Anolis sagrei: one gene and its partners. The protein of the gene in region 1 purifies or fractionates together with the protein of each later gene. This does not show direct contact. Links are inferred from orthologs where the notes say so. Each region holds a gene or a part of one and is shown in the gene's direction. Other genes may lie near its edges.

The links.
Region 2: the proteins of ACTL6A (region 1) and BRD8 fractionate together in Homo sapiens (co-fractionation; 4 studies listed by BioGRID and IntAct, with this or other methods). This does not show direct contact. The link is inferred for Anolis sagrei from reciprocal best matches to the Homo sapiens genes ACTL6A and BRD8.
Region 3: the proteins of ACTL6A (region 1) and SMARCC2 purify together in Homo sapiens (affinity purification with mass spectrometry; 8 studies listed by BioGRID and IntAct, counting the BioPlex papers as one, with this or other methods). This does not show direct contact. The link is inferred for Anolis sagrei from reciprocal best matches to the Homo sapiens genes ACTL6A and SMARCC2.
Region 4: the proteins of ACTL6A (region 1) and ARID1B purify together in Homo sapiens (affinity purification with mass spectrometry; 5 studies listed by BioGRID and IntAct, with this or other methods). This does not show direct contact. The link is inferred for Anolis sagrei from reciprocal best matches to the Homo sapiens genes ACTL6A and ARID1B.

Annotation. Positions count from the first base shown.
Region 1 is NC_090023.1:257,609,245-257,616,438, forward strand, and holds the start of ACTL6A (actin-like protein 6A), read left to right. Parts: upstream 1-4,188; 5' UTR 4,189-4,285; coding exon 4,286-4,310; intron 4,311-6,864; coding exon 6,865-6,941; intron 6,942-7,194. Other genes in the region: NIFK (MKI67 FHA domain-interacting nucleolar phosphoprotein), read right to left, coding at 2,078-2,212.
Region 2 is NC_090022.1:76,370,949-76,378,943, reverse strand, and holds the start of BRD8 (bromodomain-containing protein 8), read left to right. Parts: upstream 1-4,993; 5' UTR 4,994-5,044; coding exon 5,045-5,063; exon of another isoform or gene 5,064-5,073; intron 5,074-6,901; coding exon 6,902-6,998; intron 6,999-7,995. Other genes in the region: NHP2 (H/ACA ribonucleoprotein complex subunit 2), read right to left, coding at 1,363-1,488, 2,567-2,672, 4,266-4,335, 4,679-4,847. UniProt on the Homo sapiens protein: May act as a coactivator during transcriptional activation by hormone-activated nuclear receptors (NR). Isoform 2 stimulates transcriptional activation by AR/DHTR, ESR1/NR3A1, RXRA/NR2B1 and THRB/ERBA2.
Region 3 is NC_090022.1:138,276,653-138,284,115, reverse strand, and holds the start of SMARCC2 (SWI/SNF complex subunit SMARCC2), read left to right. Parts: upstream 1-4,461; 5' UTR 4,462-4,549; coding exon 4,550-4,660; intron 4,661-7,463. UniProt on the Homo sapiens protein: Involved in transcriptional activation and repression of select genes by chromatin remodeling (alteration of DNA-nucleosome topology).
Region 4 is NC_090021.1:69,803,436-69,811,275, reverse strand, and holds the start of ARID1B (AT-rich interactive domain-containing protein 1B), read left to right. Parts: upstream 1-4,838; 5' UTR 4,839-5,462; coding exon 5,463-7,046; intron 7,047-7,840. UniProt on the Homo sapiens protein: Involved in transcriptional activation and repression of select genes by chromatin remodeling (alteration of DNA-nucleosome topology).

The DNA of each region.
Region 1 (7,194 bases):
CTTTTTGTTTGTTGGAATCTGTCCTGAATCCCCTTGGGGAGATAAGAGTTTTATTATTATTATTATTATTATTTGAAACACAACAAGATGAGCTCACAGCAGACAAGATCACTCTGCTGGCTGTTGTATTGGATCACACATCGGACACTTCCCAAGTGTCTAGGATTGTGTGATATATTGGCGAATAATGTGTGCAGATCCCAGTAAGGTGACATTCTGCAGCTAGCAGATGGTAATTTTGTCAGTGTCGATTGTGTTTAAATGCATGCCAAGGTCTTTAGGCACTGCACCCAGTGTGCCAATCACCACTGGAACCACCTTTACTGGTTTGTACCAGAGTCTTTGCAGTTCGATCTTTAAATCCTCATATCGTGTCAGTTTTTCCAGTTGTTTCTCTTCAATCCTGCTGTCACATCGACAATCCGTACTTTGTTTTTTAACATGATCGTGAGGTCAGAAGTATTGTGCTCCAAAACTCTGTCTGTCTGAATTTGGAAGTTCCAGAGTAGTTTGACATGTTCATTTTCTGTAACTTTTTTCCAGATTATGATTCCACCAGTTCTTTGTTGCAGGCAAATGGTATTTGTGGTATTATTATTATTATTTAATCTGCTAAAGATTGCTGGTGCCTTGCCAAACTACAACTCTCATGAGCCACGGCTCTTAATGTGGGCAAGTCAATGAGATGTGGAAAAAAATATATTAATGTATGAAAACGAATTCAAGAGGACTAATAAGGACAGGGCTAACACATAAATATATCTGTTTATCCTTCCAATGAATTATGCTGGGGGAAATGGAAGGAAAAAGGAAGAGGGGTCGACCAAGGGCAAGATGGATGGATGGTATCCTTGAAGTGACTGGACTGACCTTGAATGAGCTGGGGGTGGTGACGACCGACAGGGAGCTCTGGCATGGACTGGTCCATGAAGTCACGAAGAGTCAGAAACAACGTAACGAATGAACAACAACAGCCTTCCAATAATCAGCATAGCACCCCTAATATCTGGGCCCCCCTGGTGGTGCAGCAGATTAAACCGCCAAGCTGCTGAACTTGCTGACCAAAAGGTTGGCAGTTTGAATGCGGGTGAGCTTCTGCTGTTAGCCCCAGCTTTTGCCAAGCTAGCAGTTCAAAAAGATGCAAATTGCACCACAATTCAAGAGAGATATTGACAAACTGGGATGTGTCCAGAGGAGGGCGACTAAAATGATCAAGGGTCTGAAGAACAAGCCCTATGAGGAGCAGCTTAAAGAGCTGGGCATGTTTAGCCTGAAGAAGAGAAGGCTGAGATGAGACATGATAATAATGTATAAATACGTGAGAAGAAGTCACAGGGATGAGGGAGCAAGCTTGTTTTCTGCATCCTTGGACACTAGGACGTGAAACAATGGCTTCAAACTACGAGAGGAGATTCCATCTGAACATGAGGAAGAACTTCCTGACTGTGAGAGCTGTTCAGCAGTGGAACTCTCTGCCCCGGAGTGTGGTGGAGGCTCCTTCTTTGGAAGCTTTTAAACAGAGGCTGGATGGCCATCTGTCAGGGGTGCTTTGAATGCAATATTCCTGCTTCTTGGCAGGGGGTTGGACTGGATGGCCCATGAGGTCTCTTCCAACTCTTTGATTCTATAGCAGATCAATAGGTAGCATTTCAGTGGGAAGGCAATGGCACTCCATGCAGTCATGCTGGCCGCATGACCTTGGAGGTGTCTACGGACGACGCCGGCTCTTCAGCTTAGAAATGGAGATGAGCACAAACCCCAAGAGTCAGACACTATAATGTCAGGGGAAACCTTTGCCTTTACCTATTTATTTGTCGTGTCAGATCAACCAGTCAATTATATTACATTTCTAACAGAACAAAGCAAACAGACAAAATACAATACCTTTACCTTACCTACCCCTAATAGCTGCTAAACTGTACATGGGTTTGGGTCAACTTGGGCCCTTTAGGTGTTCTGGACTCCAACTACCGGCTGTTAGGAATTGTAGGAGTTGGGAGTCCCAAACACCTGCGCATGCGCAGTGCAGCGGCACCCTAAGAGACTCTGGTGGCGCTTCCCCCTCCTTCTCTCTCACCTTGCCTTTCCGCACGCGCTGCACCTCAGCCTGGAACTCTTGCTGTCGGTCCAGGTCCAAGGAAAGGAGCGGGGCCGCCTGTCTGGCCTTGGCTTTCGCCTTCGCCGCGGAAGAGCCTTCTGTTACCGCCGCCATGGCGCCTCCGCAGCAGGAAAAGGGGCCGCCTCTGCCTCACACGGCGTGTGGCTGCCAAGAAACGGAAGCCTCCTCTCGTCACTTCCGCTTGGCTGGCTTGGTGCCACAGTAGGAACAAGGACGGCAGAACAGCGGCCCCTGCTGGCTGGGGGCGGAAGTACTGGATGAGGAGTGACTCCAGTGATATTCACAAATGCAAAGACAGCCAGACCTCCATATCCTCGCATTCTATATAATATAATATAATATAATATAATATAATATAATATAATATAATATAATATAATATAATATAATATAATATAATATAATATAATATAATAATCATCATTGTATATCATAGGATATACGTGTGTGTGTGTTTAAATTTGGGTCCCATATACATTTCTCTCTCTCTCTCTCTCTCTCTCTCTCTGAAGAGCAACCTTTGATTTTGCCATTTTACAGAAAGGTCAACATTTTACTATGTTGTTGGGCCCTGTTCCATTATCATCACTGTATATCACATGAGATATGTATGAACTTGGATCCTATATATATATATATATAATCATAGAATCAAAAAGTTGATCATACAGTATTGGATAATCAAGAAAGGTATTTTATGCAAGGCTGCACTTAGAATCAAAGACTTGGAAGAGACCTCATGGGCCATCCGGTCCAACCCTCTGCCAAGAAGCAGGAATATTGCATTCAAATCACCCCCGACAAATGGCCATCCAGCCTATGATTAAAAGCTTCCAAAGAAGGAGCCTCTACTACACTCCAGGGCAGAGAGTTCCACTGCTGAACAGCTCTCACAGTCAGGAAGTTCTTCCTCATTTTCAGATTGAATCTCCTCTCTTGTAGTTTGAAGCCATTGTTCCGTTGCGTCCTAGTCTCCAAGGAAGCAGGAAACAAGCTTGCTCCCTCCTCCCTGTGGCTTCCTCTCACATATTTATACATGGCTATCATATCTCCTCTCAGCCTTCTCTTCTTCAGGCTAAACATGCCCAGCTCCTTAAGCCGCTTCTCATAGGGCTTGGCTAGTGTATGTATGTATGTATATATATATATATATATATATATATATATATATATATATATATATATACTAGCCATCCCCTGCCATGCGTTGCTGTGGCCCACATGGGGGTTCTGTGTGGGCGGTTTGGCCCAATTCTATTGTTGGTGGGATTCAGAAGGCACTGTGATTGTAGATGAACTATAAATCCCAGCAACTACAACTCCCAAATGTCAAGATTCTGTTTTCCCCAAACTCCACCAGTGTTCACATTTGGTTATATTGAGTATTCTTGTAGAGTTTGGTCCAGATCCATCATTGTTTGAGTCCACAGTGCTCTATGGATGTAGGTGAACTACAACTCCCAAACTCAAGGTCAATGTCCAGCAAACCCTTCCAATATTTTCTGTTGGTCATGGGAGTTCTGTGTACCAAGTTTGGTTCAATTCCATTGTTGGTGGAGTTCAGAATGCTCTTTGATTGTAGGTGAACTATAAATCCCAGCAACTACAACTCCCAAATGACAAAATCATAATTTTTTGAGTGATGGTCACTCCTTGTGTTGTGAGACGTTTTGTTGCCAAATTTGGTGTGATTTCATTCATTGGTTCTTTTGTATATATATAGATAGATATAGAAGATAGATAGATTAATTAATTAATTAATAAATTAAATAAAAATATTAATAAAAATAAATTAAAATAATTAAAATAAAAAATAAAACAGATTAAACTCCCAAGCAAAACATGCAGAAATCCAATGCTCTCCCTTGACTAGACTTTTCCCTCTGTGCTGATCTTCCCACCAAAACTACTACAAGGCAACCAAACTTGAATCTTCTCCTCCCATTGGAGGGACACAAACCCTATGATACCTACTAGGCAAAACGAAAGCCAATCAGGAGAGCCCTTTGCAGTTGGCTCCTCCAGCGATAGGCGGGCTTTGGAACAGCGGCGGGCTGCCGATTGGTGGAGAGAGGGAGAGGAGGCGGGCCTTAGCGAGGTAGAACGGGAGAAAGGGATCCCGCCGCGCGCTGTGAAGAGAAGCAGAGCGGAGCCTCGGTTGCAGCCATGAGCGGCGGGGTCTACGGAGGAGGTGAGCGGAGGGCTTGGCGCATGCGCGAGATGGGAAAGCCAGGCGGGGCTGCGGCGCCTTTAAGACCGAAGGGAAGGGGACTCTCCTTTGAATGACTCTGGAGTGGAAAGCAGGCTAGACTCTCTGAAGTTGCAGCTAGACCAGGCCTGGGCCAACTTGGGCCCTCCAGGGGTTTTGGACTACAACTCCCACAATTCCTAACAGCCGGTAGGCTGTTAGGAATTGTGGGAGTTGTAGTCCAAAACCCCTGGAGGGCCCAAGTTGGCCCAGGCCTGCCTGATCAGAAATACAAGCTGATGGCTTTGCTGACATCTTCCAAACTAGCTCTCACTCCTTGATGGATTGTCACTTTGTTGTGTTTGGAGACTTGTTAGGAGACTTGTTGTGGTTAGGAGACTTGTGTCTTCCAGGCCTCTGTAACTTCAATGTATTTTGCCCATAAACTTACTTATTTATTTGTTTATTTATTTATGATATTTCTACCCCGCCTTTCTCGAATCCGAAGGTGACTCAAGGCGGCTTTTCAACATCAATCCAGACAAGACAGAGGTCCTCCTGGTCAGACGCAAGGCCAAACAGGGCATAGGGTTACACTCCCCCTTTTATTTTGTCGTGTCAGGAGCGACACAAGAGACTGCAAGTCGCTTCTGGTGTGAGAGAATTGGCCGTCTGCAAGGGTGTTGCCCAGGGGACGCCCAGATGGTGCAGGTTTGCAGCTTGGGAGTCATCCTGGATTCATCGTTGAGCCTGGAACACCAGGTTTCGGCGGTGACCAGGAGAGCTTTTCCCGTACCTTGGGAAGTCTGACTTGGCCACGGTGGTCCAAGATCTACAAGCCACTCTAAATACCTTTGCAGAAGCGTACACGAAACTTGGCCCGTCACTGAACATCGAGAAAACCAAAGTGCTGTTCTAGCAGTCACCAGCCATCCCCTCTCCAATGCCAGAGATACAATGGTGCAACATTAGAAAATGTTGACCATTTCCGCTACCTTGGCAGCCACCTCTCCACCAAAGTCAACATCGACACCGAAATACAACACCACCTGAGCTCTATGAGTGCAGCATTTTCCCGAATGAAGCAGAGAGTGTTTGAGAACCAGGACATCCGTAGGGATACCAAGGTGATTGTCTATAAAGCTATTGTCCTCCCAACCCTGCTATATGCCTGTGAGACGTGGACTGTCTACAGACGTCACATGCAACTCCTGGGAAGACAAGCAGACAAACGTCAGTGTGCTGGAAGAAGCAAAGACCACCAGCATTGAAGTGATGGTCCTCTGCCATCAACTCTGCTGGACCGGCTACGTTGTCTGGATGCCTGACCACCGTCTCCCAAGGCAGTTGCTGTACTCTGAACTTAAGAATAGAAAACGGAACGTTGATGGACAGGAAAAGAGATTTAAAGATGGGCTCAAAGCCAACCTTAAAAACTGTGGCATAGACACCGAGAACTGGAAAGACCTGTCCCTTGACCGCTCCAGCTGGAGGTCAGCTGTGACCAGCAGTGCTGCAGAATTTGAAGAGGCAGGAATGGGGGGCGAAAGAGAGAAACGTGCCAGGAGAAAGGTGCGTCAAGCCAACCCCGACCAAGACCGCCTTCCACCTGGAAACCAATGCCCTCACTGCGGGAGAAGATGCAGATCAAGAATTGGGCTCCACAGTCACCTATGGACCCACCAGAATACTGAGCCTGGAAGACTATCCTACTCGGCAGCCAGTGGAGATGGTGTAACAAGGGCGTTGTGCACTGCCTGTACCCAGCCCCAGTGAGCAACCTGGCTACTGAACGTTGGACTAGTTGAGGCTTCCGGGCAGTCTTCCGGGTTGCCTCTGAAGACTGCCCGGAAACTGCAATAAGTCCAACGCTCGGCAGCCAGGCTACGGACAGGAGCGGGGTACAGGGAGCACACAACTCCTCTGTTGCGCCAGCTCCACAGGCTGTCAATTACCTTCCAAGCACAATTCAAAGTGCTGGTTTTAACCTACAAAACCAGATACGGTTTCGGTCCAGTTTACCTGTCCGAACGTATTCTCCCCTATGAACCATCAAGGCTGTTAAGATCTTCCAGAGGGGCTCTGCTCTCAGTTCCACCACTTTTGCAATTGTGTCTGGTGGGGACGAGAGACCGGGCCTTTTCCATGGTGGCCCCTCGGCTATGGAACTCTCTCCCAAATGAGATTAGATCTGCCCCCTCTCTCCTTACCTTCAGGAAGCTAGTGAAATCCTGGCTATGGATTGAAGCTTTCCCAGAATAATGGCTGAGACCGGCAACAGACTAAAGTTATTGACATATGCGGACTAAGTTGGACATGATTTTACCTTGGTGAACTGGCTTATATGTATTTTACTTTATATGTATTTTAATCTACTGTTGTATGATGTTTTAAACTGTGTTGTGGCATTGTGAGCCGGTCTGAGTCCCTCTGTGGAGGTTGAGAAGATCGGGATATAAAAGTTTTGAATAAATAATAAATAAATAAACTTATTTGCCTCATAAGATTTTGTTTTTGTTTAATCAAAGTTATCCAGAGTCTATATTTGTGTTTGCAGATGAAGTTGGAGCTCTGGTCTTTGATATCGGGTCTTACACTGTGAGAGCTGGCTATGCTGGAGAAGACTGCCCAAAGGTAAGAACAAAAGTGGGCTGTTATTACCTGGTAACAATGGCATCGTCTACACTGCCATATAATCAAAGCAGATTATCTGGATTTTATATGGCAGTGTAGTAAGAGCCATCGTTTCGTGCCAGAAATACAGTTTAATGGTGTAACATTAGAAAATGTATTGCCGTATTCCTGAAGAATTCTCAGAGGTGATGAGGTCTGTTGGAAACTAGACAAGTGAGGTTTAAATATCTGTGGAATGTCCACGGTGGGAGAA
Region 2 (7,995 bases), on another chromosome or scaffold:
ACCCAGCCACAGAAACCCTCTAGAGATCACCCATACAGTATCTCCTTCCATTTTATTATGTAGTGATTGATAGCACTAATTCTCAACATTTCATTGTCCAACTCCTTAGTAATGGCCAGGGCTTCCAAGAGCTGAAATCTAAATCATCTTGGGAATCCAAGATTAAGAACAAAAAAATCTAGATTACAAACTGAAACAGAAATTTCATTTCATTGTGGAAGTAGCAAGTCATAGTTTTGAACTCAGACTTAGTTGAAACTGCAGAACTGAGGAAATCTACCCCTAGGAAGGGAAATTCAACCCTGAAAGAGTTATCATGGGGAGGGGAAAGGTATCTCTACTGAAGCGTTGTCATCAATCCTTATTTCCACAACCAAAAATTGTCAAAATCCAATTGTCATGGGGACAACGTGAGGTGAAGCCTTCTGCACAGGGATGCAGACAGCAAAATAAACGTGTTAACCCTTCCCTATACTATTCAAAACTAAACAAAAATTGGCTGGAGTTAACTTTAAAAATGTACCTGTTCTGACTTGCATACAAATTCAGTTTAAGAACAATTTTTTTGTAAGCTGGAGGGGGAGCACCAATAGCCAGAGTTGCCACCCCCTCCTGAGATGTGGAGCTGCTGTGTGAATGCGCATATGCATTCACACAGCAGCCCAGACTAAAAAGGAAGTAGACAGTACATTAACTGCACTCATCTTCTCCTTCCTCTTGAGGCACAGGGATCTATTGATGTGCACACAGCAGTCCTAGGCATGGCGGGGGGGGGGGGTGTCTGTGATTGCTAGTCCTTCCTCCCCCCACCCAAAAAAAAGCATAAGGCAGCTGGGTGAGTGTACCTGTTGTGGGGCACATTTTTCATACCTCAGCTCCAATAGTCTGGGAAGCCCTCTAAGAATGTTTGTCCTGCCCCCACTGTAGTCACAGTTTCCCCACCTTCAGTGTTCCTAAGTCCCCAGCTCCATATTAAATATGCAAAGGCTGCATAAAAACAAGATGGATACCTTATCAACTGCATGTATAGGCCAAGACAGCCAGTAAAAGAATGTTCCATGCATATAGGATGTTTTAGAAAATATTTTACTGCATTTATATCAAATAAGAATGCCTTTACAGCTCGATATATCCACATAGGCAGTAGATTATATTGCAAAATAAATCACATTTTGTAAAAAACACACTTCATAAGTCAGTTAAAACAGAAAAGAGTTGTTGGACTGCAGACGGTATTAGCTGCAGTACTCTATTCAAGGCAAGTTCTCCTGTCCAAATGTTCCAAATCTGTGTAGCTATTACTCAACTGGAATGAACCTAAATGAAAATTTAAATCAGTCCATGAACATATTTTGTTGATGTTCACAATGGGAGTGGAAGGGCTTCGACCTCCTCAAAACACTCATCGTAGGCTTCCTGATATTCTTCATGAGATTTAATCAAGATAACACAAGTTGGACGTTTTGAACCTGCAGCTGCTCCTAAATCCTGAGAAAAGAAAACAAATATTTGTCTAGTTTACAAATGATTTAACAGATACATAGCTCCACTGTCACAATTTACATAAACATGTCCCATAAGTCAAGATGAACTGATCCATTGTTTTTGAGCATGACAAATCAATCCCACCACATCAAAAAGATGACAATTTTCAAAAGCCTCATAAAACCTGCAATGTGGCACTTATTTCAGAATACAAAATGATTTTCCTGTGTTATAGAAATTGTAATTGACTGTCAGTAATTGACATTATTAAAACTGTTACAAAGCTATAACATGATCCTGTATAGCAGGGAGACTCAATCTAAGACTTTCTATATGAAAGTGGTTGTATCCTGCTTTGACCTCTTTAACACAGGAATCCCTTACATCAGCCCCTGCATTCAAACCTGGTTCAGTCAATGTGGACAGCCTGGATCACAAAATTTAAGGTTGCAGATAAAGGCAAATTATCTCTTTCAGAATCTGGACACCATATTTAAGATTCTATTAAGTAGAACTTCAAAGACATTCATTATATATGCCCGCAACTCACCCTCAATAGCATTACAAATTACTGAACTGAATGCAAATACAGGCAGCCCCCAAGTTATGAACAAAATAGGTTCTGTCGGTTTGTCCTTAAGTTGAGTTTGTATGTAAGTCAGAACAAATAATATTTTTCAGTGTAATTCCAGCCAAAAATAAGTAATTTTTAGCTTTGGATAACATAGGGAAGGGTGAACACCCCTGTGGTATTTGTTTTGCTGTCTGTTCCCCTGTTCAGAAGATTTAACCTCACCCTCTGTCCTTGTAACAATTGGATTTTGATAAACCCGTCTTGTGGTAAAAAGGATTGGTGGGAAAGTTTCAGTGGAGACAACTTTCCCACATGATAACTCTTCCAGGAGTGAATTTCCCTTCTGAGGGGTAGATTTCTCTCACTTCCTGTTGTCTCGCCCCCGTTCTTAACCCAGTCAGATGTTTGTAACTCGGGGACCGCCTGTAGCTTCCCAACTTGCATTCAGTTCCCATAAGACATACAAATAAGAAGGCCCCCTTCCCTGTTCCTCCTCTAAATCATTACCGTTTTGGAGGGGATGTAGACATATGGAAGATTCCGGTCTTCACACATGATGGGGATATGGCAGTAAACATCAATAGGCAGTGTGTCTCCTGCAAGAACTGTGATCCTAAGAGAAACAGGCAGGATACCATTTAAAAAAGGACTAGACATTGCTCCTTAATGAAGTGGGAGAACAACAAAGCTACTGTTAATCCCTCTTCATAATATAAAGTTGCAATACTGTTGATAGTTGTAAGCCTCCTCAATCTCAGCAGAATTTCTGAGTAAATTCTGCTCTCTGCAGCTGCTTTACAAACCAATTCTCTGCTACCTAATTTTTAAATATTTGTAGTGTGGTCAGTATTCACATAAATTGGATTCGACTTAAGAGACTCGTACTCTCACACAGACAGAATGTGAGAAATAAAAAAGGCAAATAGGTCAGTGTGAGGCACTGAGGTTAACATTATGCAGATCCAAATGAAAACAATGCTGCTGTTATATGACTTCTGGCTTCATCATGGCTTCATCATCATTGTGGCCTCCTAAAGTTTGCATTTTTGACACATGGGCACATTTTAGTTTCCCACATGACACAGAAATACAAGGTGTTTCTAAAAGAAGGACGTGATCTGAAATGGCTATCTCTCTGCAACCACAAACCACTCATAAATGAAACTTACCCTTTGGAAGGATGAGGCATAGAACTTCAAAGAATTACAAACAGCCTTTAGCCTCAGTCATTTGCAAGATGGTGACCCACATAAGGACTAATGAGATATTTTCCATTTGAGGAGTTAATTTTTAGGTTTGTTTCTGGCTCAAAATAGTAAAAATGATAACTCATTAAACCATTTGTAACTTTTTGTGTAACTATAAGATGTTACCATGGTGAAATACACTGCTTTCAAACTGTGTCCATCATTTTGAAACACCCTGTAATTCACTCATAACAATCAGGAACACTACAAAGAGAGGACTTAGTTCCAAGATCTGCAGCGGATGACTGAACTGAAGTCAGCCATACTGTGTCAAACTTGACACAGGAAACTCTGAGGGAAGCAAATCATTCAAGGAACAATATCGCAGATTCCTGCATAGGCAGAATACCTACTGATACCCAAAATGGTGGTTTGTGGGCTGGTGCAGGTCAGTAATCTACTGGCCGCTGGTGCATGTTGTTTCCAAGAAGGAAATACTGTAGTTATAGTTAATGAGCACAAGTGTGCTTATCTCTGGCTTTCTGGGGAGCAGGGGGGCAGTTGTCCCCCATATTAGATAGCTTAAGAAGCACTAAAAAAGACAAATGCTCTAAAGGAATTAAGCGCGAGGCACCTGTGATCATTCCAATATTAATTTAATTACTTCATTTTTATACTGCCTTTCCCCTGGTATGAGAATTAAAGGCAGCTAACTGCAAACATGACATTACACCTGGGACAAGAAATAGTTTATGCTTAGTGAAATGGAATTTGCTCCGTCAGAGGGGCGGAGTCTTTTTCCCTCAGAGGGGTGGAATCTTTTTAAGCAGAGGCTGGATGGCCATCCGACAAGTGCTTTGTTTGGATGTTTCTGCATGGACTAGATGGCCCTTGGGGTTTCTTCCAACCCCATGGCTGTGTTACTTTCTTTTCTGGCAAAGGAGGGGCTGGCATCTGTGAGTAGCGCACCGGGTGGTCCTTGGGGAGTCTTCTATCGCAAATCATGTTAAGATTCTTACCCCTTCTCGCCTTTGTTAATGAACTTCTGGACCTCTTTCACTCCACGCCGAATCTGTTTTACCTTCGATGCTGCAAGTAGAAGGGGAGAGAGAATATGTATGTGGGAAGCCACCAACCCAGCAAGGAGGCTTGAAAGGGAGCCCTCTGAAGACCCCCATCCCCTCTCTCCAGGAGTGCTGCCCCTAAAACCTCCCCTTTTCCCAAAGGTGCACCTACACTGCAGAGTTAATGCAGTTTGACCTAGGCCAGGCATGGGCAAACTTGGGCCCTCCAGATGTTTTGGACTTCAACTCCTACAATTCCTAACAGCCTCAGGCCCTTTCCTTTTCACCCTCAGCCGCTTAAGCTGAGGACCCAAGTTTGCCCATGCCTGAGTACAGTAGATGCAGGCCCAACCCCTTCCTTCCTGCACCTTTCTTGATGCACTTGTAGAGCTTCCGCGTGAGCTTGCGGGAGGCCAGGGGCCGCGCGATGGCGTTGACGTTCTCCACCAGCTCGTGGTAGGAGCGCTCCGGGGTGGCCTCAGTCTCCGGCGCCGCCTGCTCCTCCTCGGCCTCCTGGCGCTTGCTGGCCCGGCCCATGCCTGCTTCTCCGCCGGGAAGGAGCCACGCGCCTCTCCCGCACTGTCGCGCTTCCGGCTCAGACCAAACACGTGCCGGGAAGGGAAAGCAAGGCGTCGGCCAATAAGAACGCGGCTTTGAGGAGGAAGCACCGCCCACCGCTCTATGGCATAGCTCGCGGCCCCTTTCCCGGCACGCACCGGGCGTGCGTCGGAAAGATGGCCGCCGGGACGGGTAGTGAGTGGGGGTCTGTCTTTTGAGGAGAGGGTGGAGGAAGGAAATAAGGCGAGCGGGCGGCGGGTGACAGGGTGCCTGCGTTTTTTTAACAGCTTCCATAAAATTACCAGGTCTTGGGTTGCTGTAAGTTTTTCGGGCTGTATGGCCATGTTGCAGAAGCATTCTCTCCTGACGTTTCGCCTGCCTCTATGGCAGGCATCCTCAGAGGTTGTGAGAGGCGAAACGTCAGGAGTGAATGATTCTGGGACATGGGCATACAGCCCGAAAAACTTACAGCGACCCATGATTCCGGCCATGAAACCCTTCGACAACACATTTACCAGGCTTCCCCCCCCCCCCCCCCCTTTCCTCCATGTAGGGAAAAACATATCTTCTTATTTATTTCGTGTCGCTTCTGCAAGCCCCTTCTGGTGGATTGGCTGTCTGCAAAGATGATGCCCTGATGTTTTGATGTTTCGCAATCCTTGTGGGAGGCTTCTCTCATGTCCCTGCATGGGGAGCTGGAGCTGACAGGGGTAGCTCATCCGCGCTCTCCTCGGATTCAAACCTTCAGCCCTGCCGGCACAAGGGTTCAACCCTTTGCACCACTGAGGGCTCCTCAAGTTGCTCCTGACACAGAAAAAAATGTGTCAAAAGAATTGCATAAATAAATTATAAAACTGATAAAATAGAGGGAACACAACCAGCTAAATAATTTTTGGCCAAAAAAGGGCAACAGCGACCACATTGTGTTGTCAAAGGCTTTCATGGCTAGAATCGCTGGTTTGCTGTGAGTTTTCCAGGCTGTATGGTCATGTTCCAGAAGCATTCTGACGTTTTGCACACATCTATGGCAGGCATCCTCAGAGGTTGTAAGGTCTGTTCGAAACTAGGCAAGTGGGATTTATGTGGAACTCTTGTCTGCTTGAGGCAGGTGTAAATGTTGTAATTGGCTACCTTAATTCACATTTTAATTTCCTTGCAGCTTGAGAGTCTGGCTTTGGAATGGCCAGCCTCCCACTCTGGACATGCCATAAGTATATAAACTCCACTTGCCTAGTTTCCAACAGACCTCACAACCTCTGAGGATGCCTGCCATAAATGTGGGTGAAACATCAGGAGAGAATGCATCTGGAACATGGCCATATAGGCCAAAAAACTCACAGCAACCCAGCATTGTCTAGCTTTAAACAGTTCTTTCTCTGTGCATGAAGCAGGGCATTGTGGGCACACATACAGCTGCAGAGTCTTTTGTTCTGCTCCGCAGTCGCAGATTCTTCCACCTTGTGCGACTGACAACCATTTTGCCAGGTTGTCTTTTGATCTGCACAGTCCACTTCTGAGTCTGTTTAGGGACTTCCAAGTTGCTCATTTTTGGTTTGCCCCTGGAGGAAGACCTTCATGGGGGGCTATCCAATTGGAATTTCCTGGTTTAGCTGCCCAGAGGGGATTCCCTTGCTATTGCTGGGGGGGGGGGGGAGTGGAGGACATTAAGAGGAGTGGTGGTTCTCATGAAAAGCATTGCTTTTTTAAAACAACATATCTGCTGCCACACACCTTTTCAGGGCATTCATAGGGCTGAGAACTATAACCTAGCAGCATACTACTACTGCAGTCTCTTGAACAGGCATGGGCAAACTTGGGCCCTCCAAGTGTTTTGGGAGTTGAAGTCCAAAACACCTGAAGGGCCCAAGTTTGCCCATGCTGCTCTTGAGGCTTACTTAAATAGGAGTATTGATTGAGATTGGCGGCTGCACGGACAAAGTTAGGTTTATTTTGAGGTGCTGTCACAAAAGGATCTGTGGGCAGGTTGCAACATTGCAGTGTTTATCTCTTCTCTTTCTCTCTCTGACTTCCAGAGCACAAGTTGCTGAATGTCGGGCCCACAGAGCCATGGTCCATCCGGGAGAAACTGTGCTTGGCCTCCTCTGTCATGCGAAGTGGGGACCAGAACTGGTATGAGATGCATGCTGATTATTGTTGTTATTATTTATAGCTAACGTTCCTTAATTGAGGCAATGCAGTTTAAAGTCTACAACATATAAATATTAAAGTAGTCTTGAACATAGAATCGCTATAAATTTAAATAACTAAAATCTATTAAAATACCTAGGGGCTAGTTGCCCCACCCCACCCCCGCCCAAGGATTGGCCTTTAAAATGTTCTTTAAAAACCTGCCTGAAAAGAGAGGTTTTAGCCTGCCACCAAAACAAAAGGACAGCAGGGAGGGGCCGATCAGGTTTCTCTAGGAAGAAGGGGAGCTCCAGAGTTGAGGCAGCCAGAGCTGATAGAAGGCCTTCTCCTGAAGATCTTAGGGCCTGGGCAGGTTCATACTAGGAGATGTAATTTGCCAAAACTTGCTGCTAAGTCCTGGGCATTGTAATTTCAATTAACAATATTATCTGTTCTTTGAACAAAATTCTGAATTAATTTGTTGTAGTTCTTAATTACCAAGTACAAGTCAAGCATTCCCTATCTTAAATGCTTGGGATTAGAAGGGGAGTTGGATTTGAAGTTTTTTTTCCAGATTTTGGAATATGTATGTACCCATATTTACTCAAGTCTAAGGTACCATCGAATCTAATGTTTACCTCAATTTTCAAACACCTAAAAACAAAAAAATTGCTAACGATTGCAATGCATAGCAGCAAAAGATACACACTTTTTGTACTATGCCCATTACAGTTACTCCCTGCTTAGAATTCCTTCTGTAAAAACTATTAAATAAGAACACCAAAGCTCTCAGCAATGGAAAAGAAACAGTGGAGTGCATCTATGTTGTGGAATGAATCCACTTTAACGTCTATAGTTCAGTGCTATGGAATCATGGGGGCTGTAGTTTTTAAAAGCCTTGAGCCTTCTCTGCCAAAGAATGCTGATGCCTCATCAAACTACAAATTCCAGGATTACATAGCATTGAGCTTTGACAATTAAATTATAGATGACACCCCTC
Region 3 (7,463 bases), on another chromosome or scaffold:
ATTCGCCCTCAGTCGCCTGTGTCTTTCCCAGAGAACTGTACTTGAGCCTTCCTCATGGTTGTGGCCTCCCTCAAGTCACTAGTTATGGGAACTGAGGGATCTCATGTGAAGGAAGGCCTCCAGAACAGGTGCAGAGTTCCATCAACTGACGCTTTGTAAAGAATCCAACTGACTAAATTTAACCGGGCAACTTGGGCCCTCCCTCCAGCTGTTTTGGACTTTCACCATTCCCAACAGCCTCAGGCCCTTTCCCCCCCTCAGCCGCTTAAACTTAAGGAAGGGGTCAACCAGCCAAGGCCCATCCTCTGTTTGGATATCAGCCAACATGCCAACACTTTAAATCAGGAAGTAGTTTTGTAAGATCATATTTGCAGGAACATCTCAGCAAGCAAGAGTCCAAAAGTGTCAGCCAAAAACCCGGAACCTCAAGCCATGGCTGATACCAAATGAGAGACTCCCCCCTGGGCACACAGAAAACTGGGCGACTTGGACTACCTGCGTGACCACATTTCTGTGTATGAACCCACACGATCTCTTCATTCATCTGGAGAGGCCTTCCTTGCGCTCCCACATCTATCGCAGGCGCGACGTGGGGACAAGGGAGAGGGCTTTCTCAGTGGTGGCCCCTCGACTCTGGAATTCACTTCCCAAGGACATCAGGCATGCCCCAACTCTGGCAGTCTTTAGGAGGAGCCTGAAAACGTGGTTGTTCCAGTGTGCCTTCCCAGAATAATGAATTCTCAGCATTGTGCCCTCCAAATGCACTTTACATTGATTTAGGATTGTTGTACGCTCCCACTAACGCCCCATCTCTCCTACCTTATTCATGCCTAGCATTATTTTTAACTTTAATTACATTTGGCCCAGCCATACATTGTAATTGTGTGTTGTATTATTGTCATTGTATATTGCTTTTTTGTTATGAGTTTTATTTAATCTGTTTTACTGTTGTTGTTATTGCTTATATTGATGTATTGTGGGCTCGGCCTCATGTAAGCCGCATCAAGTCCCTTGGGGAGATGGTAGCGGGGTATAAATAAAGTTTAATAATAATAATAATAATAATAATAATAATAATAAAAGGCGCTGAACAGACTGCGCTCTGGCACCACGAGATGCAGAGCCAATCTTAAGAAATGGGGCCACAATGTGGACTCCACAACATGAGGGTGTGGAGAAGAACAAACCACAGACCACCTACCACAATGCAGCTTGAGCCCTGTCATATGCACAATGGAGGACCTTCTTATAGCAACACCACAGGCACTCCCAAGTGGCCAGCTACTGGTCAAAGAACATTTAGTATAATGCTAAGTTTTTAACTTTGTGGCTTTAAATACATTACGACTGTACCCTCAGTTCGCTTCTGATACAATATAAATAATATAAATAAAGATTATTATTAATATTATTTGATACATAACAAGATTAGTACACAGAAAACAAGATCACTGTGCTATCTTTTGTATTTTATCACATGTTGGACACTTCCCAAGTGTCTAGGACTATGTGATGTATTGGCGACTAATATGTGCAGATCCAAGAAGGGGTGGCCTTTTGTAGTTGACAGATGGTAATTTTGTCAGTGCCGTTTGTTTTTAAGTGCAGGCCAAGGTCTTTGTTGTTGTTGTTGTTGTTGTTATTTTATTACCACACAGCAAACAAGATCACTATGCTGGCTTTTGTATTGGATCACACTTTGGACACTTTCCAAGCGTCTAGGACTATGTGATGTATCGGTTAGTAATCCGTGCTTATCCAAGTAGGGTGGCTTTTTGCAGCTGACAGATGATAATTTTGTCAGCGCCTATTGTTTTTAAGTGCAGGCCAAGATCTTTAGGCACTGCACCCCAGTGTGCCAATCACCACTGGGACCACCTTTACTGGCTTGTGCCAGAGTCTTTGCAGTTTGATCTTTATATCCTCACATTATTATTATTATTATTCTTTTACTGACACAAAAACACAGTATGACACAGCAAACGAAATATATATGCTGGATTTCGTATCACAAAATCACAAGTCAAACACTTCCCAAGCGCCTAGGACTGTGTGATGTATTTTTGAATGATGCGCGCAGATTCAAGTAAGGTGGCTGATTGCATTTTATGGTTTGTCCATTTGGCATCTCTATGCCCTCATTGTGAGTAATTTTCCCTTTCTTTAATGCCATTGTGGCACATTTGTCTAGGCCAAACTCCATACTGATGTCAGTGTTGAAGATTCTGACTGTGTTGGTCAATGACTTGATTTCAGTTTTTGATTTTCCGTAAAGCTTTAGATCAGTGGTTCTCAACCTGTGGGTCCCCAGGTGTTTTGGCCTACAACTCTCAGAAATCCCAGGCAATTTACCAGCTGTTAGGATTTCTGAAGGCCAAAACATCTGGGGACCCACAGGTTGAAAACCACTGATTTAGATCATCCATGTACAGCAAGTGAGAGATTTTTGGTGAATTTCTTGCTGTTTGGTAGCCTATGTTTGTTTTCTGTAGAATTACTGACAGTGGGATAATTGCAATGATGAACAGCAGTGGTGACAGTGAGTAACCTTGGAAAATTCCTCTCTTGATGTTAATAGTTCCATAGCTTTCGCTGCCCACAAACAACTCCATTTTCCATTGTTTCATTGCATTTTCAGTGAACTTTCTAATATTTTCACAAACCCCGATGACATCTAGAAATTTGATAATCCAACAATGTGTCAGTGAGTCAAATGCTTTTTTGTAATCAATCCAAGTTGTATAGTAATTATTATTATTATTATTATTATTACTTTACTTAGGCGATCCCTCATATCTGAGGATGATGGTCCTCCAAGTTCGGTGTCCTGGTGGTGGGTTCGTAGGTGACTGGAGCCCTATTCTTGATCTGCATCTTCTTCCACAGTGACGGCATTGGTTTCCAGGTTGAAGGTGGTCTCGGATGGGCCTTCCTCTTGGCACATTTTCTCACCCTCCATTCGTGCCTCTTCAAATTCTGCAGCACTGCAGGTCACAGCTGACCTCCAGCTGAAGCGCTCAAGGGCCAGGGCTTCCCAGTTCTCAGTGTCTATGCCAGAGTTTTTGAGGTTGGCTTTGAGCCCATCTTTTATTTATTTATTTATTTATTTACAGTTCTTATATTCCGCCCTTCTCACCCCGCAGGGGACTCAGGGCGGATTACAGTCAACACATATATGGCAAACATTCAATGCCAGTTTGACAAACAACATTTAACACACAAATACACCAAGGCTATTTAACTTTTTTCTGGCCGCCAGGGGAGCTGCTGCTTTTCATCGTCCATCAACAACACCGATGAAGTTCTTCCGCATTCCACATTCCCCGGAGTCTTCTTTCTTTATGGCCTCATAAATTAGTTAAATTTAGCCTCCCACACAAGGTGGTCCCTTATTTTCCTACTTGACAGATGCAACTGTCTTTCGGGTTGCAAAGGTCGACAATGGGCTACACAATGGCTGGACACCCACTCCAGCCCGGGCTGGCTTCGAACTCATGACCTTTTGGTCAGAGTGATCTTAATGCAGCTGACACTCAGCCAGCTGCGCCACAATCCCGGTGCTTTAAATCTCTTTTCCTGTCCACCAACGTTCCGTTTCCCGTTCTTGAGTTCGGAGTAGAGCAACAGCTTTGGGAGATGGTGGTCGGGCATTCGGACAACATGGCTGGTCCAGTGGAGTTGATGGCGGAGGACCATTGCTTCAATGCTGTTGGTCTTTGCTTCTTCCAGCACGCTGACATTTGTCCGCCTGTCTTCTCAAGAGATTTGCAGGATTTTCCGGAGGCAGTGCTGATCGTTCCAGGAGTTGCATGTGACGTCTGTAGACAGTCCACGTTTCACAGGCATATAGCAGAGTTGGGAGGACAATAGCTTTATAGACAAGCACCTTGGTATCCCTACGGATGTCCCGGTCCTCAAACACTCTCTGCTTAATTCGGAAAAATGCTGCACTCGCAGAGCTCAGGCAGTGTTGTATTTCGGTGTCAGTGTTGATTTTGGTAGAGAGGTGGCTGCCAAGGTAGCGGAAATGATCTAATGTTACACCATTAAGCTGTATCGCTGGCATTGGAGAGGGGTTGGCTGGTGTCTGCTGGAACAGGACTTTGGTTTTCTTGATGTTCAATGACAGGTCGAGCTTCTTGTATGCTTCTGCGGAGGTGTTCAGAGTGGCTTGTAGATCTTCTGAATGCGCACAGACAACGTTGTCATCAGCATACTGGGGGGGGGGGTCACCAAATACAACTCCCTATATTCCACAGCATTGAGCTATGATAATGCTGACGCCTTTCCACCGCTAGAAGGCGCTCAGGCTAGTTCAGGCGAGCCTGCGCCTCGGGGCCAGCAGGGGTCGCTGTGCTCGAGGGCCGCGCCTGGGCGAAGGAAGGAGGGAGGGAGGGAGAGAAGGCCTGGGCGCGCGCTGGCGCGGTGGGCGCGCGGTGGGGCCTGTGCCGGCAGAGGGCGCTGCGGGGCTGCTGCTCCTTCGGCCGAAGAGGCGTCCAGAGACGAAGGCGGCGCGGCCCAGGCCGGCGGCGGCGCTGCTGCTGCGAAAATGGCGGTGCGGAAGAAGGACGGCGGCCCCAACGTCAAGTACTACGAGGCCTCCGACACTGTCAGCCAGTTCGACAGCGCGCGGGTCTGGCTGGGCAAGAACTACAAGAAGGTAGGCCCGGGCCTGGGCCTGCCGGACTGCCATCGGAGAGGCCTTTCGGGGCTTCTCCGCCCCGGATCACGGCCGGCCTGCTAGCAGAATGGGAAGAGAGAGGGACTGGAGATCTTAAGGAAAGGGGGAAGAGGAAGGGAGGGAGGTGATGGGCATCGGAGGGGCACCGGGCCCCCTCCCCACCCTGCCTTCCATGGGGACGGAGGGAGAGAGGGAGGGAAGGAGGGGATCCTTAAAACTGCACGTCTTACATCAAAGTCTCTCCCTTGGCCCCACGAGCAGCACCTCCATTTATTATTCCTACTCCCTTTCCATCAGGAATCAGCCCTCTTTGGATCACCAGCACCTCCTAGAAAACAGATCCCCCCTTTTTTCTTGAGAAATGGCCATAATCTCAATTGCAGGGTGGCAGGCACGTTTCTTTGACATCTTCGCGCCTGGTGCCCTATTGTCCTTTGCCCCAAGATCAAGCCCTTCTTATTCTCCCATTCATTAGTTCCCACCCTTCTCTACAGATCCCTTCAGGACCTGACACGGAAACTTTCATTCATTGAGGCGTTTACTTGACCTTGCATTTTTTGTTTTTGATTTTAGTGCAGGGTGGGTCAAAAGTCACAAAGAGGTCCTGCATCCTGTACGTGATGCAGGGGTATTGGATTGCCATTTATGAGATTGGATTTTTCACACGTCATGTACATTTATTTATGAGATTCCATTTATGAGATTGAATTTTTCTTGTGTAATGTATATATAAATTAAATATATGCACACAGCGGGTTAAACTGCTGAACTTGCTGACCGAAAGGTCGGTGGTTTGAATCCAGAGAGTGGAGTAAGCTCCTGCTGTTAGCCCCAGCTTCTGCCAACCTAGCATTTCAAAAGCATGCAAATGTGAGTAGATCTGTAGATACCCCTTCAGTGGGAAGGTAATGGCGCTTCATGCAGTCATGCTGGCCACATGGCATTGAAGGTGTCTATGGACAACACTGACTCTTCAGCTTACAAATAGAGATAAGCACCACCCCATAGAGTTGGACACGACTAGACTTAATGCCAAGGGGAAATGTTTACCTTTACCTATCATCATATATGTTATTGTATATTAAAAACAAAACATAAAGGAGCAATAAAGTATTGAAACCCTTTCATGACTTTTGGCCCACCCAGTACCTTCAAATTGCTTTTCGTTCTCCTGGAGCAGCCTCAGTCCCTTTCCTTCCTGCTGGAGATGTGCTCTTTGGCAAGCAGAAAACTTAGCAGTTTTGCAATTTTGAAATGGGATGTGCTGGTTTATTCCCTTATGAGAGATGTTTCAATAACCTCTTTTGGGCATCCAACCTTGCTTTCATTTATTTGTTCTAATGTCAACAGAAATCAGAAATGCATTGTGTATTACAGTTTACAAATGGGGTTGTATTGGAAATGTGTCTGCTGTTTTCTGCCAACAAGTGTCATTGGATGTTGAATCAATGTATTTCTCAATCTCCCTTGTGTCGGCAAGTCTGCTGACCAAAAGGTCAGCAGTTCAAGTCTGGGGAGCAGGATGAGCTCCATCTGTCAGCCCCAGCTTCCCATGCAGGGACATGAGAGAAGCCTCCTACAGGATGGTAAAACATCCGGGCATCTCCGGGCAACATCCTTGCAGATGGCCAATTCTCTCACACCAGAAGCGACTTGCAGTTTCTCAAGTCACTCCTGACACGAAAAAAAAATCTCTGTAATTTGTTAAGAGGAGCCAAAGGCCCAGAAGCTGATGTGAAAGCTGTTTTTAATTCCCCCTATAGACATGCACTTCTCCATAGAGGAGATGGGGACTTGGGTGGCTAGGTTCTGTGTTATGGGGCCCACACAGCCTTTTCAGTTGCTGTCACACGAAGAAGCATGGTCCAGCAAGTTTCCTCTCTTAAATGCTTTGCACTTTGACAGCTGCTTCCGTTCCACATGCTGCTGCCCAGGACTTGATTCCCAGGCTCTTACCTTTGACCTTTCAAGTGAGAGAGAGAGAGAGAGAGAGAGCGCATGCCTCAGTCCCCAGACAATTCATTGTGTTTGGAATGACAGCTTCTGACCCCATGCTCACCACTTCCCTGCTAGCAAGTTTGAATCTCTTGTCAACTGCCCTAGTTATTTGCACCAAAACTCAAGGCTGAATCTGCACTACTACATAATACAGTTTGAAATGCATTGCGTGGTTAGTGTAGACCCATACAGTGCAGTTTGAACTGCATTGATCTGCATTATATGGGTCTGTATTGACCATATCATGCAGTTAAAACTGTATTATGTAGTAGTGTAGATCTAGCTCAAGATGGAGTCCCTTTGTAGACCCTGTGCTATTACAGCGAGCAACTTTTCCTGTTTTGATGGTGTTTCCAGACAAATTAAAAAGGAAGTTTAAATGAGGGCTATTTAGGGTAGTGGGTTTCTTTCCATGGTTGCTCCTCCCCATGCTTGAGTTAAGGAGCCCTGTTCTGGCAAGACTGCTGACTGAAAGGTCAGCGGTTTGAATCTGAGGAGCGGGGCGAGCTCCCATCTGTCAGCACCAGCTTCCCATGGGAGTCATGAGAGAAGCCTCCCACAGGATGGTAAAACATATGCACTTATCATAGGCAACATCCTTGCAGACGGCCAGTTCTCTCACACCCGAAGCGACTTGCAGTTTCTCAAGTAGCTCCTGATACTAATAAAAAACTCTTCCATTATTGTTATGGACACAAGTGGGACCCATTTACTAGTTATGCATGAAAAAAATAAACCTCTCTAAGAAAGATGATGGTCTATGTTGATTATAATGCTATACAGT
Region 4 (7,840 bases), on another chromosome or scaffold:
TAGCTTCTCACATGGACAATTATATGTTGCACGTTCTAGAGTTGGAAAACCACACAATCTCTATCTCTGCACAGAAAATGGAACAACAAAAAATATTGCATACTCACAAGCATTGTGAAATTAAATATATTAGTAACCTGCTCTTTCTCTTCTCTTCCTTTTCCTTTTAACCAGACTGGGCCACAGCAACACATGGCTGGGGACAACTACTTTATGATAAAAGTATCATTTACCTACTTCTAACATATGCTTGAATGTACTATAAATATTGTGTTGGATTATTTTACTTCCTAGTTTATTTAATAGATTGTGGTATTAGTATGACGCCTGTATCCATAATGAATATGCTCCTGGACTTCATCTGGATACATGAAACAGTGGGAAGATAGCAAATCTCATTTAAATTAAGGACTTCCCATCCAAGAATATAATACTAATGAAACTTTATATCTCACCGCATCTCTCAGTATGGAACTCAGAGCAGCTGAGAACATAAAAGGCAAATATTCAATGCCAACAAGTACATACATACAGACATAATTTAATGAATAGCATTATAGGGTATAGGGTTACAGCCTGTGCTTGATGAGGTTACACTCCCGAAGGCACAGGTTTCCAGTTTGGGAGTGATCCTGGACTCATTGCTGAGCCTGGAACCCCAGGTTTCAGCGGTGGCCAGGGGAGCTTTCACACAATTAAAACTTGTGCGCCTACTGCGCCCATATCTTGGGAGGTCAGACTTGATCACGGTGGTCCACGCTTCGGTTACATCCCAAATAGACTACTGCAATGCACTGTACGTGGGGTTGACTCTGAAGACTGTTTGGAAGCTTCAGTTAGTCTATCACTTGGAACCCAAGTTGCTCATGGGATGGGGTACCGAGAGCTCACATGCCCTTGCTACGCCAGCTCCACTGGCTGCCTATTAGCTTCTGAGCACAAAAGTGCTGGCTTTGGCCTATAAAGCCCTTAACGGTTCTGGCCCAGTTTACCTGTCCGAACGTATCTCCTGCTACGAGTCATCTAGGACCTTAAGATAGTCAGGGCAGGCCCTGCTCTGTCCCCCCACCATCACAATCACACTTGGTGGGGACGAGAGACAGGGCCTTCTCCATGGTGGTCCCTTGGGTAAGGAATTTCCTCCCAAACGAAATCAGATCTGCTCCATCTCTCCTGTCCTTCTGAAAAAAAGTGAAATCCTGGCTGTGGGATCGGGCCTTTGCTGACTAGACTGACTGGCGAAGTTATGGTTTTAATGGACTATGATGGACTGTTTTTAGGATTATCACTGAATTCGTTATTGTACTTAATATTTTTATATTGTTTTTATACTGTTTTATTATATTATGTATATTTATGCTTTTCTTGAAGGAGCTGGGAGTGGTGACAACCGACAGGGAGCTCTGGCGTGGGCTGGTCCATGAAGGCACGAAGAGTCGGAAACAACTGAACGAATGAATAACAAATGCTTTTCTTATTGTGGGCACTATGCTGTGCCGGTTGTTACCTGCCCTGAGTCCCTCTGTGGAGGTGAGATAGGAAGGGATATAAATGCCCTAAAACAAACAAACAAATAAATAAAATACCTAACCACGATGACATGCTGGAGGACCAAGAAAATGGCTAGAAAGGACATATGGTATTTTGTTAAATGTGGATAAATTAAACAGCAGATATTAGTCCCACACATATGGGGGTTCTACTGTATTCTTAGTCTCTCTTACACACATACACACAATTTTTATAAAAATATTTGCACGTGGGGAAATAGCAGAGACTATGATACTGCAGTTATTAAAATGCATCCTCACATACTCTTTAAAGCAATGCTGCTAACATGAAATGGACAATAATATTTCTGAGGGTAAAGTTCCAGATGAACATTGTTTTCAAGGGATGCCAGTTAATGAGGGCTTTTTAGTCAAATAGCTGTCTTGTTTTTAAATCAATGTATCAGTTAATTAATGGACTAAACCTTTGAGTACATCAACATAGTTGATATTTGAGAGTTTGTGTAGTTTATCTTCATCAAATGGTACATTTCACAAGTCTGATTCTGTGCGAATTCCATTTGTGTGGTTAGTGCATGGTGTGCTACTTGGGTAGAACAATTTGATGGAATAGCCTGTTAGTCTTCCAAATAAACATTTTAGGACTGATTCAATCATTTTAACAGAACTTACACTTAATAAGAGTAGTGGTGGGGTACGTAGTTAATGTGCAAAGGGTTTAGAGTTCAGTCTGTAACATTTCTAGACAGAGGTCAGAAAGAACTGAGAGAATTGCTGTCAGTCAGCATTGGCCACCTTGATTAGCACTGAATGGGCTTGCAGCTTCAAAGCCTGGCTGGTTGCTGCCTGGGGGAATTCTTTGTTGAGACGTTAGCTGGCCCCAATGGTTTCCTGTATGGAATTCCCTCACAACCTCTGAGGATGCCTGCCACAGATGTGAGCCAAACATCAGGAGAGAATGCTTCTGGAACATGGCCATACAGCCCGGAAAACTCACAGCAACGCAGTGATTCTGGCCATGAAAGCCTTTGACAACACATGTGTGGAAAGTTTGTATCATAAATCTGTGCTTTTGGTATGAAATACGTAGATTCTTATGCAGCACACTTTTCTTTTAATGTTTAATATGTTTTCTTTGTGCTTGAAAGATATTAATTTAAACACATTAAAAGATCCTGATATTTTATGGGTGAGCAGATGGCAACTAGTAGATGGCATATGTTCTGTATCTGAAAAAACTAAAGCTGATAGGGGAGAACGGGTGCCATTTTTGGAACCAGCAGGTGAAATACACCCAGAAACAGGACTAACATTGGAGATACTAAAATGTGTGTTGGGCACTGTCATCTTTTGCTTATGAGTTTTTCTAATCTTATGTATTTTAATATATGTGTGTTTTGCTGGTCTTTTTAATCTATGCCTTTTAACCGTGTGGTATCCTGCACATAATGAGAATAAAGGTATTTTTCTCACGTCCACCTAAATGGCTTCAAAGTATGGTTTCTTTAAAATGTGATCGTGTGATTGATGCAGAGGACCCTTTCAGGCCATTCCAAAAACTAACACTGATAGGTCAGTTTAGTGTATTGGTGCTTTGGAAGTGTGTGAAAAGGAGCTCAATGGACACAAATGGTCGAGGTGTAATATTGAGAAGGAATAAAAAGAAAGTGACACACAATACAAAACAGTTGTAAAGCCTGTGTTGCTGAAGGCTTTTTGTCACTGGGTTGCTGTGAGTTTTCTGGGCAGTATGGCCATGTCCCAGAAGCATTCTCTCCTGATATTTCACCTACATCTGTGGCAGGCATTCTCAGAGGTTGTGAGGTCTGCTGGAAACTAGGAAAATGGGGTTTATATATCTGTGGAATGCCCGGGGGGGGGGGGGGGGAGAACTCTTGTCTGTTTAAGGCAAGTGTGAATGTTGCAATTGGCCTTCTCGATTAGCATGTAATAGCTTTGCAGCTTCAAAGCCTAGCTGCTTCCTGCCTGGTGGAATCCTTTGTTGGGAGGTGATTAGCTGGTCCTGATTGTTTCCTATCTGTTTTCAGAGAGTTGCACTTTATTTACTGTCTTTATTTTGAGTTTTTAAAATACTGGTAGCCAGACTTTGTTCATAGTTACCTCTTTTTTGTTAAAATTGTCCACATGCTTGTGGATTTCAATGGCTTCTCTGTGTAGTCTGACATGGGACTTTTCCATGCAGCCCTATATCCCAGAATATCAAGACAAAAAATCCCACAGTATCTGCTTTGAGCTGGAATAGATGGCAGTGCAGACTCAGATTACCCAGTTAAAAGCAGATATTGTGTGATTTTCTGTCTTGATATTCTGGGATATAGGGCTGTGTGGAAGGTCCCCAAGTCCACACTGCCATATATTCTGATCCAAAGCAGATAATGTGGAATTTTATTCATCTATGTCAGGAGTCCCCAAACTAAGGCCCAAGGGCTGGATATGGCCCTCCAAGGTTATTTACCCGGCCCTCGATCAGGGTCAACCTAACTCTGAAATGACTTGAAAGCACACAACAATCCTATCTCATCAGCCAAAAGCAGACCCACACTTCCCATTGAAATACTCATAAGTTTATATTTGTTAAACTTGTTCTTCATTTTAGTTAAGGTAAAGGTAAAGGTTTTGCCCTGACATTAAGTCCAGTCGTGTCTGACTCTGGGGTGTGGTGCTCATCTCCATTTCTAAGCCGAAGAGCCGGCGTTGTCCATAGACACCTCCAAGGTCATGTGGCCAGCATGACTGCAAGGAGCGCCGTTACCTTCCTGCCAGAGTGGTACATATTGATCTACTCACATTTGCATGTTTTCAAACTGCTAGGTTGGCAGAAGCTGGGGCTGACGGGTGTGGTGCTCATCTCTATTTCTAAGCCGAAGAGCCGGCGTTGTCCATAGACACCTCCAAGGTCATGTGGCTGGCATGACTGCATGGAGCGCCGTTACCTTCCCACTGGTGCGGTACCTAATGAACCACTCACATTTGCCTGTTTTCAAACTGCTAGTTGTCAGATGCTGGGGCTGACAGCAGAAGCTCACTCCGCTCCCCGGATTTGAACCTGTGACCTTTCAATCAACAAGCTCAGCAGCTCAGTGCTTTAACCCACTGCGCCATTTTAATTATTGCATTGTTTTTAAGTGTTTTTTGCACTACAAATAAGATATATGCAGTGTGCATAGGAATTCTTCTTTTTTTTCATATTATAATCCGGCCCTCCAACAGTTTGCGGGACTGACCTGGCCCTCTGTTTAAAAAGGGGACCCTTCCCTGTTCTATGTGGAAGGGTCTAAAAGCCTCATGTTTCCTCGTTTCTGCCGAGCTCAGCGCTAGAGGCCAGGCGGGCTTTCCCTTCCTCTCCTCCTCCTCCTCCGCAGAATCCGGGATCGGAATCCACTCCGCGTTTTCCATGCGGCCCAGTCTCTCAGCAGAAGTGGATCGTAGTGGTTGGAGCTCCTTTTCTCTCTCTCTCTCTCTGTCCTTCCTGCCATGCACGCTGGGCCAGATCGGCGCAGCCAGACGTGTATTTAGTTATATTTACCCATATCCGGGTTCAAAGCGGGGAAAGAAAGACAGAAAGAGAAAGAAAGAGAGAGAGAGAGAAAGGAAGGAAGGAGAGAGAAAGGAAGAAAAGAGAGAGAAAGAAAGGAAAAGTTTTATTGACTCCCCCTCAAAACCCCCTCCCAAAATAACTTTCCTCGTGAGAGCCCACCACGGGCGTCCTTAATTAAGCAAGGACTCAGCCAAGGAGGGGAGTTGAACTCAATATGGAATAACCAATCTATTATTTTGGGTTTTTTTTGGGTGGGTTGGCAAACAATCCGGCGTCCCACTTATTGTGGGGTTTGTGTTTCCCTCTCCTCTTGGGGTTTCCCCCTTTTTCTTTCTTTTTTGCGTCCTTATTTATGACTATTTCCTCCCGGAGTGAGCCATGTTGCCTTGATCATGGCCGCGCAAGTGGCGGCGAGGGAGAACAACCGAGGCAGCAAGAGCCCCTCTTTGCCGGGAAACAACACCAGCAGCAGCAACAGCAGCAGCTTAAGCCAGGACTCTCTGGGCGCAGATGGGACGAACAGCAACAACAAGAGCGGAGGCTTAAACAACGTGGAGCTCCACCAGCACCACCACCACCTCCTCCACCGCCGCCTCCACCATCATGAGCTGAGCGCGGCCAATAATGCAACTCCTTCTCCTCCTTCGAATCACAACGCAAGCAACATCATCGGCGGTGGCGGCTCTTCTCCCTCGGAGGCGCTTCTCAAAGAGTCTCCCGGCTTGTTCGCGGCGATGGAGGCCGGCCTGGCGCCCAACCACAAGCTGAAAGGCGTCGGGGGCGACCACCTCCACGCTCACGCGGCCTCGCTGCCCTTCCAGCTCCGGCAGGCCTTGCACAGGAGCCCCTTCCAACCGCAGCAGCAGCAGCAGCAGCAACAGAGTCACAACAGCAACGGCGGAGGCGCTGCTCAGCCTGGCAGCGCAGACATGGAGCCGCCTCAAGAGCAGCAACATGGAGGCCACGAAGGCGCTTTGGGGGCCCCCAACCAGGCCGGGGCGGCCACGGGGAAGGCGGCGAGGGCCTTGAAGAAAGGAGGGGAGGAAGCAGACGCGGAGAAAATGGGACCAGGAGGAGGAGGAGGAGGAAGTAGTAGTAGTGGTGGCAATAGTGGAGGCCCCTCCGCCGCCTCGGAGTTTAATAGCTATTACAGCGGGAGCAACAACAACAACGGCAACAGCGCCTCCTCTTCTTCCTCCTCCTCCTCTTCCTCCTCCTCCTCCGCCAGCCGGGCCGGGCCTTGCTTTGATCAACATGGCGGACAACAAAGCCCCGGGATGGGGCTAATGCTCCCCGCGGCAACGGCAACGGCGGCAGCAGGAGTAACAGGGGGGCCTCTCAGCATGGAGCCCGCGCCCCACTCCCACGACGCCTTCGCCCACGGGCACTACAACCACTACGCCTACGGGAGGCCTGGAGCTGGAGCAGGAGGAAGCGGAGGAGGAGGAGGAAGCAGCTATGGGAACAGCCCGTCCTCGGCCTTCGGGGTGCTGGGCTCCCCCAGGCAGCTCCCTCCGCAGGGCATGATGCTGGGCCCAAGCGGAGGAGGAGGAGGAGGAGGCGGCAGTAAGGGCTTCCAGCGCTTCCCGGGCCCGGCGCAGCAGCAGCAGCAGCAGCACCCCTCGGGAGCCACGCCGACCTTGAACCAGCTCCTGACTTCGCCCAGCCCCATGATGCGGAGCTACGGGGGCAGCAGCGGGTACCCCGAGTACGGGCACCCGGCCCCGGCGGCCCCGCAGCCCCAGCCCCCCTCCACCCAAGCCGCCGCCGCCGCCGCCTCTTCTTCCGCCTCTTCTTCTTCTTCCTCCTCCTCCTCGGCGGGGCTGGCGGGCAAGGACGGGGGCCCGTTCGGGGCCAGCAGCGCCAACGCCAGCCCGGCCTGGCCCCCCGCCGCCGCGCCACAGCGGGGACACCCGGCCATGAGCCCCGGGGCCAGCACCGCCGCCGCCGCCGCACAGGCCCTCGGCAGGAGCCAGGTAAGCATTCCCCGCCGCCTCTCCCTCCTTCCTTCTTCCCCTTTTGACTTTCCACGCCTGGCTTAGCGAGGGACACTGTCTCAGCCTCTTTCAGGCCACAGAGAGCTGGGCTGGGCTGGCTCCCTTCGTGGAAAACAAGAGCTTTTTGTGTGAGGCAAGACTTGCACCACCTCTCCACCCAGACACACGCTCAGGGCCCTGTGGAAACACAGCCCCATATCCCAGAATATCGAGGCAGAAAGTCCCACATTATTTCCACAGCCCCACAGCTTTGTGTGTGGCAACCCTTGCACCATATACCTACGCAGACCCACACTCAGGGCCCTTCCACGCTGCCCTATATCCCAGAATATCAAGGCAGAAAGTCCCACATTATTTCCACAGCCCCACAGCTTTGTGTGTGTAGCAGCCCATGCGCCACATACCCACCTAGACCCACACTCTGGATCCTTCCACACAGCCCTATATCCCAGAATATTGAGGCAGAAAGTCCCATATCATTTCCACAGCCCCACAGCTTTGTGTGTGTGGCAACCCTTGCACCACATACCTACCCAGACTCACACTTGGGGTCTTTCCACAGCCCCACAGCTTTGTGTGTGTGGCAACCCTTGCACCATATACCTACCCAGACTCACACTCTGGGCCCTTCCACGCTGCCCTATATCCTAGAATACCAAGGCAGAAAGTCCCACATTATTTCCACAGCCCCACAGCTTTGGGTGTGTAGCAGCCCATGCGCCACATACCTACCTAGACCCACACTCTGGATCCTTCCACACAGCCCTATATCC